Linked DNA regions of Drosophila melanogaster. The protein of the gene in region 1 interacts with the protein of each later gene in a biochemical or structural test. Each region holds a gene or a part of one and is shown in the gene's direction. Other genes may lie near its edges.

Region 1 (3,753 bases):
TCCGATTGCAGCGGAGTTCCATGGGAAATTGACTGACAGTTGGACGGTGCGACGTTTTGAATGTCAGTAGTCGCATTCCGGACGGAATCGCTTGCCCGTCAGCCGTGGAGCTCTACTAACTCCGGAAATAGACAATGGCATATTATTTACTCGGTTTTTGCTTTCACCTGCAACACTTGAAATAATTGGACACGCAGGTGTACGAAACTCGAGCTAAATTCAAATATGGGCTTTGTCTATGGGTCACCGAGTGGTAAGGTTACCCCTTTCTAGTGACAGTCGTGCAATTTCATTTGATTTTTATTTGCATTGACTCACATTTGTATAGTTGAAGTTTAAGTTTGCCAACAGACATATGGAAAATTCTAGCTATGGTTACAAAAATAAATCATTACCCGAATGTAAGGGCTTAAAAAGAATTAAGTTTAAATGTATGACCTATCCAAATTTCGAACAATATAACTTAATACCATATATATAGTATAATTAATAAGTCAACTAACAACGAACCTAATGGAATTTAGCGCCCTACCAAATAATTCCCACCACTCACCGTCCATCCGATTTTGTCGCCCCCGCAGAGGTACTCCATCTTTATGGGCAGGTCGCCGCGGTCAAAGTACATTCGGAAGAGGGTTCCTCGTCCCGGATCATTAGCCCCACCGGTGGAGCAGCCATTAAGACCCATGCCCAAGTTGAAGGTGGACATGGACTTTTGTTGGCGCCTCAGAACTGAAAATCAGTACAAATGCAAATGTGGGCAGGGATGTCATTAGGGAAACAAATACCGATGGGCGAAACACCCAAATAAACAAACTAACGCACTTTTCGGATTGGGCACCCGACTCCTGGCACTGGCTGTCTTGGGGGCGGTTTCGTGGATGGGTCCGTCGATGACGACCGTGTTCTTTTGCTGCGACTGAATGGAGAAGGGTGGAACGTAGCGCGGACGCGACGAGACCGCCGCTCCATGGATGCCGCTAAGTGGACGCAGTTGCGCCGGATTGGCGGACTTGGAGCGCGTCGGCCTGTGGTAGTCGTGCGTGGGACGCCTTGCCGTCGCGGTGCGTGCCGTTTGGGCCATGGCCATTTCCGGTTGATGCGACGATGTGCAGCCACGTAGTGTAAACAGCGAACTGCCGAGCGAAGGAATTTCTGTAGCCAGGCTGGCACTCCTGGTGTTGGCGTTGCTTTTGCTGTTGCTGTTGGGTGTCGTGTCGTTTCTATGGAGCACGTTGCTAAGGCCTGGGGCGGCTTAGTGACCGATAAGCCAGCAGTTGGAGCTAAAGCCGCTTGCTCGCATTCGCTGCGGTGCTCTCTTCCAGTCGCATTTGTTACAATAACAAGCCGGTTAGCCTTATAGGCGCCAGTTATGTTGTTATTATCATTCGACTATGCACTAACCAAAGTCCCCGGACTGCATGTAGATTTCCCAAGCACTTTTATTGGGCATTTCAGGTCAGCGAACTCATCGGAATGAAGGGGATCTGGGTTTTCTGGGGGCGCAACCGCAGATTAACAACGACAAATTGGCACAGCTCATGTCAATCATGCCAACATTTTATTCTATTTGATGAACAACAACAATCGATCCATAAAAGCAATTTAATTTTATATACAGAAGTAATAAATATTAAAACGTATTCAAAGTGAAACAAATTACCTAAACAACTTAATATTATAAATATTATATGTTAATCAGAATTTACTAAATCTTTTTAATCAAAGTACAAAGTAAATCGTCATAAATCTAATCAATAGCCATGAGAAAAACATAGAAATGCCATCATCAAGCAAAGATTTCAAAAAAGAGGTAAGCATGCGTGAGTTGTAAATTTAATTTTAACCTTATAATTCTGAGCCAATAAATTAAGTTTTAAAAAGCGCGCCAAGAGAACTTATCGATAAATGGCTAATTCTGCTATGCAGCACTGGTGCTTTGTTTACATTCTGCGGTGTTCGGCGTTTGTCTGGCAACGCCGCACCTGTTCTGTGCGGGTGGCGTGTTGCAAAGTGCCGAGGGCACTGAGAACTACTAGTGTTGGCTAGCGATCGAGTGCGAATAAAGAACAAAAGTGTGATATGTCGCTGTGAATAGCCAATTATCTGTGTTTTCTCGTGCTAAATCAGAAAATTTTTCGCAATGTCTGAGCCAGAGGTGACCAGCGTTGTAGATATGAAATCGCCCAACATATCCTCCTCCTGCTCCTTCTTCAAGCTGAAGAAGCTGTCGGAGGAGTCGCTTCTGCAGCCGCCGGAAAAGGTCTTCGACATTATGTACAAGCTGGGCGAGGGCAGCTATGGATCAGTCTACAAGGCAGTGCACAAGGAAAGCAGCTCCATTGTGGCCATCAAGCTGGTGCCGGTGGAGTCCGACCTGCACGAGATTATTAAGGAGATATCCATTATGCAACAATGCGACTCGCCGTATGTGGTGCGCTATTACGGCTCCTACTTCAAGCAGTATGACCTGTGGATCTGCATGGAGTACTGTGGCGCCGGCAGCGTCTCCGACATTATGCGTCTGCGCAAAAAGACGCTGACGGAGGACGAGATAGCCACTATTCTGTCGGACACTCTGCAGGGCTTGGTCTATCTGCATCTGCGTCGCAAGATCCATCGCGACATCAAGGCGGCCAACATCCTGCTCAATACCGAAGGCTATGCTAAGTTGGCCGATTTCGGAGTCGCTGGTCAGCTCACGGACACAATGGCCAAGAGAAACACTGTGATCGGAACGCCCTTCTGGATGGCCCCCGAGGTGATTGAGGAGATTGGCTACGACTGTGTGGCAGACATATGGTCATTGGGCATCACCGCCTTGGAAATGGCCGAGGGAAAGCCCCCATACGGTGAGATCCATCCCATGCGAGCCATCTTTATGATTCCGCAGAAGCCACCACCATCGTTCCGGGAACCGGATCGCTGGAGCACAGAGTTCATTGACTTCGTGAGCAAGTGCCTGGTAAAGGAGCCAGACGACCGGGCAACGGCCACTGAACTGCTGGAGCACGAGTTCATACGCAACGCCAAGCACCGATCGATCCTAAAGCCTATGCTTGAGGAGACCTGTGCCATTCGCGAGCAGCAACGCGCCAATCGCAGTTTTGGGGGCGTGTTGGCTGCTAGTCAGGCGAAGAGCTTGGCAACCCAGGAAAACGGAATGCAACAACACATCACGGACAACGCGTTTATGGAGGATCCAGGTACTCTGGTGCCGGAGAAGTTCGGTGAATACCAACAGAGCTCAGCCTCAGATGCCACCATGATAGCGCATGCAGAGCAAGGTGTGGATGAGGGCACTTTGGGGCCGGGTGGACTAAGGAACCTGTCCAAGGCAGCTGCTCCTGCAGCGGCCTCTTCGGCAGCATCTCCTCTGGACATGCCGGCAGTTGACAGCGGCACAATGGTGGAGCTGGAGTCGAACTTGGGTATGTAAATGATTTTGAAAGGGCTGGCCATTTGTTATTGTATTGTCTGTTATTCAGGCACTATGGTAATCAACTCCGATTCGGACGACTCCACAACGGCCAAAAACAACGACGACCAGAAGCCGCGAAACCGCTACAGGCCGCAGTTCCTGGAGCACTTCGATCGCAAAAATGCGGGAGATGGCCGTGGCGATGAAAAACCCATAGCCACAGAGTATTCTCCGGCAGCAGCGGAGCAGCAACAACAACAACAACAGCAGCAGCAACAACAACAGCAGGATGAACAGCATCTGGCAAGCGGGGCCAACGATTTGAACAACTG
Region 2 (3,753 bases), on another chromosome or scaffold:
GGAGGAGGATACCCCATCTCTGGGGACAAGTTTTTGTATCACTCTGTTGCGTCTTCTTCGGGTTTTTCTCGTCTTTTTCCCCTGTGTCATCCATCGATTTGTCGGGCATTGCTTTTGTTTTAACTTTGTGTTTATTTTCTTGGACGTACTCGTTCCAGAGGCTAGCTACATGGTAATTTCGAATGGAGGTCTGTCTATTTCAGCAGTCAATTCATTCTGAGAGTGGCTTTGAAAAGTCGTATTCCGTGATAATATTGCTATCATACACAGTTTTCATTTTAAACTAATGGCTTTCGAAAGCTTCATATATCTTCAAATATGTGTTCGTCATTCAAACGATTGAGCCAAATGCACAATGAGTTGAAGTTTTTGATAAAAAATAAATCGTTTAATTCTACTTAAAACTGGAAACTAGTTTAAGCTAGTTTAAAAAAATGCATAACATTGATACATTTTACTATGGTTGCGATAATATCTGCCTAGTTCTGAAGCAATAGAAATGTCCTACTTTACAGATCCTTAGATTTCTTATTTTTTATATGCATGGCAGAAAAGTTCACATATGATTCACATAATTTATTGTAGTGTACTTCGGTTTCGAAACACCAAGGTCAAGTTGGCACTTCCACAAATGATAAAAGAACCGAAGTGCAGGAGAATCCAAGATAGTCTTGATTTCCTGTTTTCTTTCAAGTGAAGCTGCTGCAGGTGCGAAAAAGTGGGGAAGATGTGATGGGGCTGCTGGGCAAACAAGTTATCGCCGCGTTTGTGCACCGTTTTACGAGGGAAAGCTTTTGTCTTTGGACACGATTAGTGGAGAAGCGGCAATTTGGGTGAAATCTTATCAATCAGCGGCGGGCATTGAAGCGTTCGCGGACGGAGACGAGAGCATCGGCAATTTAATTGCGGAAATAAAGGGGCAGGCAGGCACATTCCACACTGCTGACGGGACAAAGTTTGTTCGATGGATGATTAAGCCGCGTTTTCAGGTGGAGCAGGTGGGGCGGTGTTGGGCTGTATCTGGTTTTGGATAGTAACCAGTCACGCTACATGGAGCAATTCGAATCTCACGCCAAATGCGGCTCAGGATGGGCACACAGTGGGGGCGGGGCTGCAGCTTATATGCACCTGAATCTGGGAGAATCCTTCAGGCACTCCTCGAACTCGATGGTGGCGCGCATTTTGGCCACCACGCAAGCAGCACCTAGACTGCACTGCTGGCTATTTCGCTACGCTAATTGAGGCCCGTGAATCTTTGTTGGCCTGTTGCTGCTGCTCTGCTTTGCTTTGCTTTCCTTGCTGAAGTGGGGATTTCGATGCGCGATTTTCGAGGGCGGCTCTGGGAGAAGCTAATTGCGGGCAGCAGGAGATATGGTGATTAGTCGCATCCTTGGCAATCGACGGCTACACACGTTGAGCACTGGCCCTAATTAGCGAAACTCGCCAATTTACGCGATTCGGGGCCGAATTTACCAAATTTACACAGCGCGCAGAGACAACAAATTAAAACGTCTCACTTTCTACTAGAGCAGATCGGTGTGCCCGCACTCGCAGCGAAAACAAATCTAGCAGCGCGAATGGTCACACACTTTGGCGGGCTTATTTGCTTTTGCTCATATCTTTTAAAATTTTAAATGTATTGAATGCTTAGTGTTTTCCTTGTGCTGATTTTCGTTTTAAAACTCGATTAGTTACGAAGATTTCAATTCAAAGGCATAAAACAACGCACATTGACATTGTCAGCACGGTTTATCAGTGTTGGAAACTTTTGTAGCTAAGAAGAAGCTAATTAGGAACTTAAATTCCCTAAAAGAAGATACAGCCCAAAAAAGATTTGGGTTCTAGCCATAATCAATGTAGATGTATTTAAAGTACAAACGATGACAATTTTAAACACCAAAACAAGCAAATCCGTTTCAAGCTACCGCCAGCCAAGTCAAATCTAGCTACAAAACAGATCAGCTGACAGCACCGCTGGATTTTAGGGTGCCCGCCTTGTGCGACAAGAATCCGCGGCCAGTGCTGCACAAGTGCCATTTTTCATTTCATTGTTCTGTTCTCTTTCTGCTGGTGCTGTTTTGGTTTAAGTGCAATTATCCACACAAGTACGCACCGAAAACCGATGCACCTGCACCGTGCACCAAGTGTGGGAGTGCCCAGTGCCAGTTTCATTTATAAAACTATGAGTTTCGCACGGCAACCAGCGCAGCTGACCGACTGACCGATCAGAGTCTCACGTCCCCCCTCGCCTCATGTGTTTACCCCTTGTCCAGCGTTCTATTTGCGTTTCGTGTCCGCTTTAAATCGCCTCATTTGCATACAACTCGACGGCTTTACGTCACAACTCTTTAAAATCGGCGAAGTAGAGGAGGAGGAGTGAAACACGCCCATTCCCGGAGGAAGCATTAGACCGACCTGTTTGGAATCCAGAATGTGGAAGTGCCACAAGTGCGGCAAACCCGTTTACTTCGGTAATGCACCCACACACGAGCGCATTGCGATCCGTAAATAACTTGTAAATTATATTTATTTATGCCCCGCACAGCGGAACGTAAACAATCGATCGGCTACGATTGGCATCCGGAATGTTTGCGCTGCGAGGAATGCGGCAAACGCTTAAATCCCGGCCAGCATGCTGAGGTAGGAGGATCACCTGTTAGTTAGCCGATCATGTGATCTATATAAAGCCTTTTGTTTTCCTTTCAGCACAAAAGTGTGCCCTACTGCCATGTGCCCTGCTATGGCGCCCTGTTTGGACCCCAGTTGTTTGGCCACGGCACCCGGGTGGAATCGCACAAAAGCTATGGGGTGAAGGGAGCCCAGAAGCCAACCGGAGCTCAGGCCAATGGCCCGCCACTCCCACGTGATCACCTGGAGTCCAAACTTAAGGTGCAGAACGCAATACCCAGACATATCAATATCTCATGACTCACCAAATTCCCTTTTAATGGGCAGGTCTACAACCAATTCTACGACAACAAAAGCCTGGAGATACGTAGTCGTGAGGTCAACAACCGGTTGGTGCTGGAAGGCGCGCTTAGAGTTTACTGGGGCGTGCAGGGAGTGATTCATCTCAAGGAGGACGATGATCAGCGCATCTTAGTGCGCAAAAGGAACTCTTGCCGTGTGTCCAAGGCTGCCAATGTAAGCTGAATCTATAACATAACAAAACGTTATTTATACAATTGTACCCACAGGAAAGCAGTTCGGATAAGGAAAACGAAGCTAGCGAATCGCTGGCTCCGCCCACCACCACCACAGCCGAGGTCGATCAACTATCCACGGATGTTTCCCTTTCCGAGAGCATGACCTTCGACTCCTGTAGCCTGAACGAGATCTCCGAGTTGCCCACAACCCCAGAAGATGCCTCGGCCAACACCACAGCCAACAGCAAAGAGCAGACCAATGGTAATGTGTGCAACGACGACGAGGATACGACCACGACGGACTCATCTGGAACCCTGGTGGAGGCTCCTACTGCCAGCACAAGTTGTGTGTCCAGCACATTGCCTTCGAAGTTGGACCGTCTGGAAAAACTGGATTGGGACGACATAGACGATCTGCTGCAGGTAGAGAGACGTCACAACGACAAGGATCGCATTTATGAAACTATGCCTGTCAAACTGCCGTCGTCGCAATCCTCCAGCGACAGTTCGCCCAGCAAAACATCCACAGAGACCACTACGACCACTGAATCAAGCTCGACTCAATCGGCATCAACAAACACCAGCAGCACGGATGATTTTATGACCG
Region 3 (3,753 bases), on another chromosome or scaffold:
AGACTAGAGAGCACGCCATTCTAGTGCGATCCCTGGGGGTTAACCAGCTAGGCGTGGTCATCAACAAGCTGGACACCGTTGGCTGGTCCCAGGACCGATTCACAGAGATTGTGACCAAGCTAAAGTCCTTCCTCAAACTGGCGGGCTTCAAGGATTCCGATGTGAGTTTTACGCCCTGTTCCGGACTAACCGGCGAGAACCTCACCAAGAAAGCCCAGGAACCCGCCCTGACCAACTGGTACAGTGGACGCCACCTCCTCGATGTCATTGAGAACTTCAAGATCCCCGAAAGAGCCATCGACAGACCGCTGCGAATGTCCGTGTCGGACATTTACAAGGGCACTGGCTCCGGATTCTGCATCTCGGGACGAGTGGAAACCGGAGTGCTGTGCCTGAACGACAAGGTGCTGGTGGGTGCCAGCCGGGAGCAGGCCCAAGTGAAATCCCTTACCATGAACGAATTCCCACAGACTTGCGTGTTCGCCGGCGATCAGGTCTCCGTCACCCTGCCCGCCTTGGACATCAACAACGTCACCGTGGGCTGCATCATCAGCGATCCACAAACCCCTATTCCGGTGACAACGCGATTCCAGGCCCGCATAATCGTGTTCAACGTCAAGGTGCCCATTACCATGGGCTTCCCCGTGCTGCTGCACCACCAATCCCTAATAGAGCCCGCCGTGGTCTGCAAGCTGACCGCATCGATTCACAAGAGCACCGGCGAGGTGGTCAAGAAGAAGCCGCGTTGCCTGGGCAACAACTCGTGTGCCCTAGTGGAACTGGAAACCAGCAGACCCATCTGCATCGAGCGGTATGCGGACTTCAAGGAGCTGGGACGCGTGATGCTTCGCGTGGCGGGAGTCACCATTGCCGCCGGAATGGTCACCAAGATCCGCTAGGTCGATGACCGCGCTGGATTTTGTACGAAATTTTAGTTAGATATTAACTTTTGTTGATTTCCTAAATATACATAGTTTATATGAATTGATTAAATCGAAAAGACGCTGAAGCATTGGAAGAGATTTCGGTCTGACCATTTTAGCGGTATCTTAAAGTGGAGTGTGTTTTTCATGGAATTAATCACTTTAAGAAATTATTATATTTATTATCATTGAATTAATCATAAGGAATATAATTACAATTTATACATAAATTGCAATATCACGTTTTTGGAATATTATGACCCCTACAATAATATTCCAAAAACGTGATATTGCAATTTTTGTATAAATTGTAATTATTTTCCTTATGATAAATTCTATGATTCAAAACTGTATCTCGAAAATGTGAATATGCGGCTGACTAAAATTCTGAATGCGAATCATATTGCTGATTCATGAAACAATCAAGCATTAGAATTTTTTCTTAAACTATCGGCAACACAGCTTATATATTATTTGCAAATTATGCTTAAAAAATAAAATAGGAATACCATAAAATATCACTTACTGTAGAAAACAATTTCAATATGAAATCGTATTAACAAAATTAAAATTAAAAAAAAATATATAGGGAAAATAACAATTTAAATATTTCCAAAATTTGATGTGCTAATATAAATTTAAAAGAATCAAATATATTTCGAATATAAATTTTATAGTTTATTTTTAAAATTTACAGCAATGCTTTAAAAGTGTCATCGCTAAGCCATTGCGATAGTCGTGCGTAGCCCTCGGCCTGCGAGTGCCGATAGTGCCATCGATGCTTTGGCAGCCCTAGTCTTTGAGTGTTCGCTGTTCGCTGAGGGCGAAAAAGTAAAGAAATTACAAGGCAAACTAGTGTTAAATTAAAAGTGAAGCGATTCGCGAGCGGCGACAGGTGAAGCGGTCCCCAAGGAGCAAGCAGTTGGCGGCAGCGAGTGAAAAGCATAGGTAAAACTCCGCCCAGAGTTGCCCTGCCGCCCGACATGCGGGTGCATTTGCGTGGTTCAGTTGTTTAGTGGCCGTTCGGTAGGCCGATGTACGCACATGGGTGCCCAGTGTGCAATTTAAGTGCATTTTAAGTGAGAGAGCTGAGTGAAATTTAAGGGAATCTCCGGCTTGAGGCGTTGCAGTGGGGCGCTGCGTTCGGTGCGGCCGCCTGGCAACCCTGAAAATGAATCATTAGAGCGAGAACGAGAACGAGAGAGTTGTGAAGAAGAAAAGAGGGAGTGCAGTCAGTTCTCAGCATACCAAAAAACGCAAACCAAAAAGACTCGCAAAGAATTTAGCGTTTATTGTGTCTAAAAAGCGCCTTTCTTCTTACTCCCCCCACAGTGTGCTCTCGGTAGCAGTGACGGCCGTCTCGAGGAACAGTCAAGCCAGGATATTTCCGCTCAAAAAAGCAACAATTGAACGCACGCAACTCGGCGGAAGGAGCGAGCGAGAGAGGGAGCACAAACACCATCACACATTCACACACACTAACACACACACACTCACGCAGTCACTTACACGGCACAAAGGTTATCAACAGCAAAAGCAACAACAACAAACAATTTACTTTAAATATAAAACATATATTAACTAATAAGCAAGAGCAACAAAAAAAAACAAAAACAAAAAACAACTGCAACCGACAAGCAATCGCCGAACAACGCCTAAAAACAAGTGATTTTCGAGGGAGAGCCACCTGGAAAGTGAACCCACCTACCTGGCCTACCTGCATTTTGGGTCTCTTCCCTAGAATTTAGCACAAAACAAGAGATATACGAAGGATATACAAACAGCACAGCAGCCAGCATGCGTGAGTACAAAATCGTGGTCCTTGGAAGCGGCGGCGTGGGCAAATCCGCGCTGACAGTCCAGTTTGTCCAGTGCATCTTCGTGGAGAAGTACGATCCCACCATCGAGGACAGTTACAGGAAGCAGGTGGAGGTGGACGGACAGCAGTGCATGCTGGAGATCCTGGACACGGCGGGTACGGAGCAGTTCACGGCCATGCGGGATTTGTACATGAAGAACGGCCAGGGATTCGTGCTGGTCTACTCGATCACGGCGCAATCGACGTTTAACGATCTGCAGGACCTGCGCGAGCAGATACTCCGGGTGAAGGACACGGACGATGTGCCCATGGTGCTCGTGGGCAACAAGTGCGACCTCGAAGAGGAGCGCGTCGTCGGCAAGGAGCTGGGCAAGAACCTGGCCACCCAGTTCAACTGCGCCTTCATGGAGACCTCAGCCAAAGCCAAAGTGAATGTGAACGATATTTTCTACGACCTGGTCCGGCAGATCAACAAGAAGTCGCCCGAGAAGAAACAGAAGAAGCCGAAAAAGTCCCTATGTGTTCTGCTATAAGACTTCCAAAAACCACCAAAACTAAAAAAACAAAAAAAAAAATATATAACAGAGGAGGAGGAGAGAGGAGCAAAAGTATAAGCGTAAAGTAAAGAATTTTCAAATTTTTTTCGTTCTCGTTTCGTTTTGGATCCGATGGCAATTGTCGAATTGAAATAACCAATCTACTATATACAAGCAAAACTTAAACTGACAAATGTTTTTAACTGTTTCAAGTTTTTGTAATTATTACCATTTACTACTATTATGATTGTACTATTTTTCGCTGATTAACCATTAATTCATATGGGGAATTATTATATATATATATCTACATATTTAAATATATTTGTCGTTCGTTTTTGAGCCGTTTTTTAAATTATGCAACAAGTGAAACATTCGTAAACTAAAACATTCGTATTTATTGATTCTTTTCGATTGTACTCTACACATCTACAACTACAACTACTTATACACGCGAAAGCCCAACCAACAACAA

Evidence for each region.
Region 2: the proteins of hpo (region 1) and Rassf form a complex in vitro, tested with the Drosophila melanogaster proteins (one study listed by BioGRID).
Region 3: of the proteins of hpo (region 1) and Rap1, one has a biochemical effect on the other in vitro, tested with the Drosophila melanogaster proteins (one study listed by BioGRID).

What each region holds. Positions count from the first base shown.
Region 1 is NT_033778.4:19,495,139-19,498,891, reverse strand, and holds the start of hpo (hippo), read left to right. Parts: upstream 1-2,035; 5' UTR 2,036-2,143; coding exon 2,144-3,431; intron 3,432-3,488; coding exon 3,489-3,753. Other genes in the region: CG15120 (uncharacterized protein), read right to left, coding at 554-732, 826-1,090. UniProt on the Drosophila melanogaster protein: Plays a key role in the Hippo/SWH (Sav/Wts/Hpo) signaling pathway, a signaling pathway that plays a pivotal role in organ size control and tumor suppression by restricting proliferation and promoting apoptosis.
Region 2 is NT_033777.3:23,116,217-23,119,969, reverse strand, and holds the start of Rassf (Ras association family member), read left to right. Parts: upstream 1-2,038; 5' UTR 2,039-2,431; coding exon 2,432-2,471; intron 2,472-2,545; coding exon 2,546-2,640; intron 2,641-2,706; coding exon 2,707-2,889; intron 2,890-2,955; coding exon 2,956-3,144; intron 3,145-3,197; coding exon 3,198-3,753. Other genes in the region: CenB1A (centaurin beta 1A), read right to left, coding at 1,129-1,181.
Region 3 is NT_037436.4:1,860,179-1,863,931, reverse strand, and holds the start of Rap1 (Rap1 GTPase), read left to right. Parts: upstream 1-1,692; 5' UTR 1,693-1,871; exon of another isoform or gene 1,872-2,002; intron 2,003-2,115; exon of another isoform or gene 2,116-2,255; 5' UTR 2,256-2,720; coding exon 2,721-3,275; 3' UTR 3,276-3,753. Other genes in the region: HBS1, read left to right, coding at 1-899. UniProt on the Drosophila melanogaster protein: Ras proteins bind GDP/GTP and possess intrinsic GTPase activity. Plays a role in photoreceptor cell determination.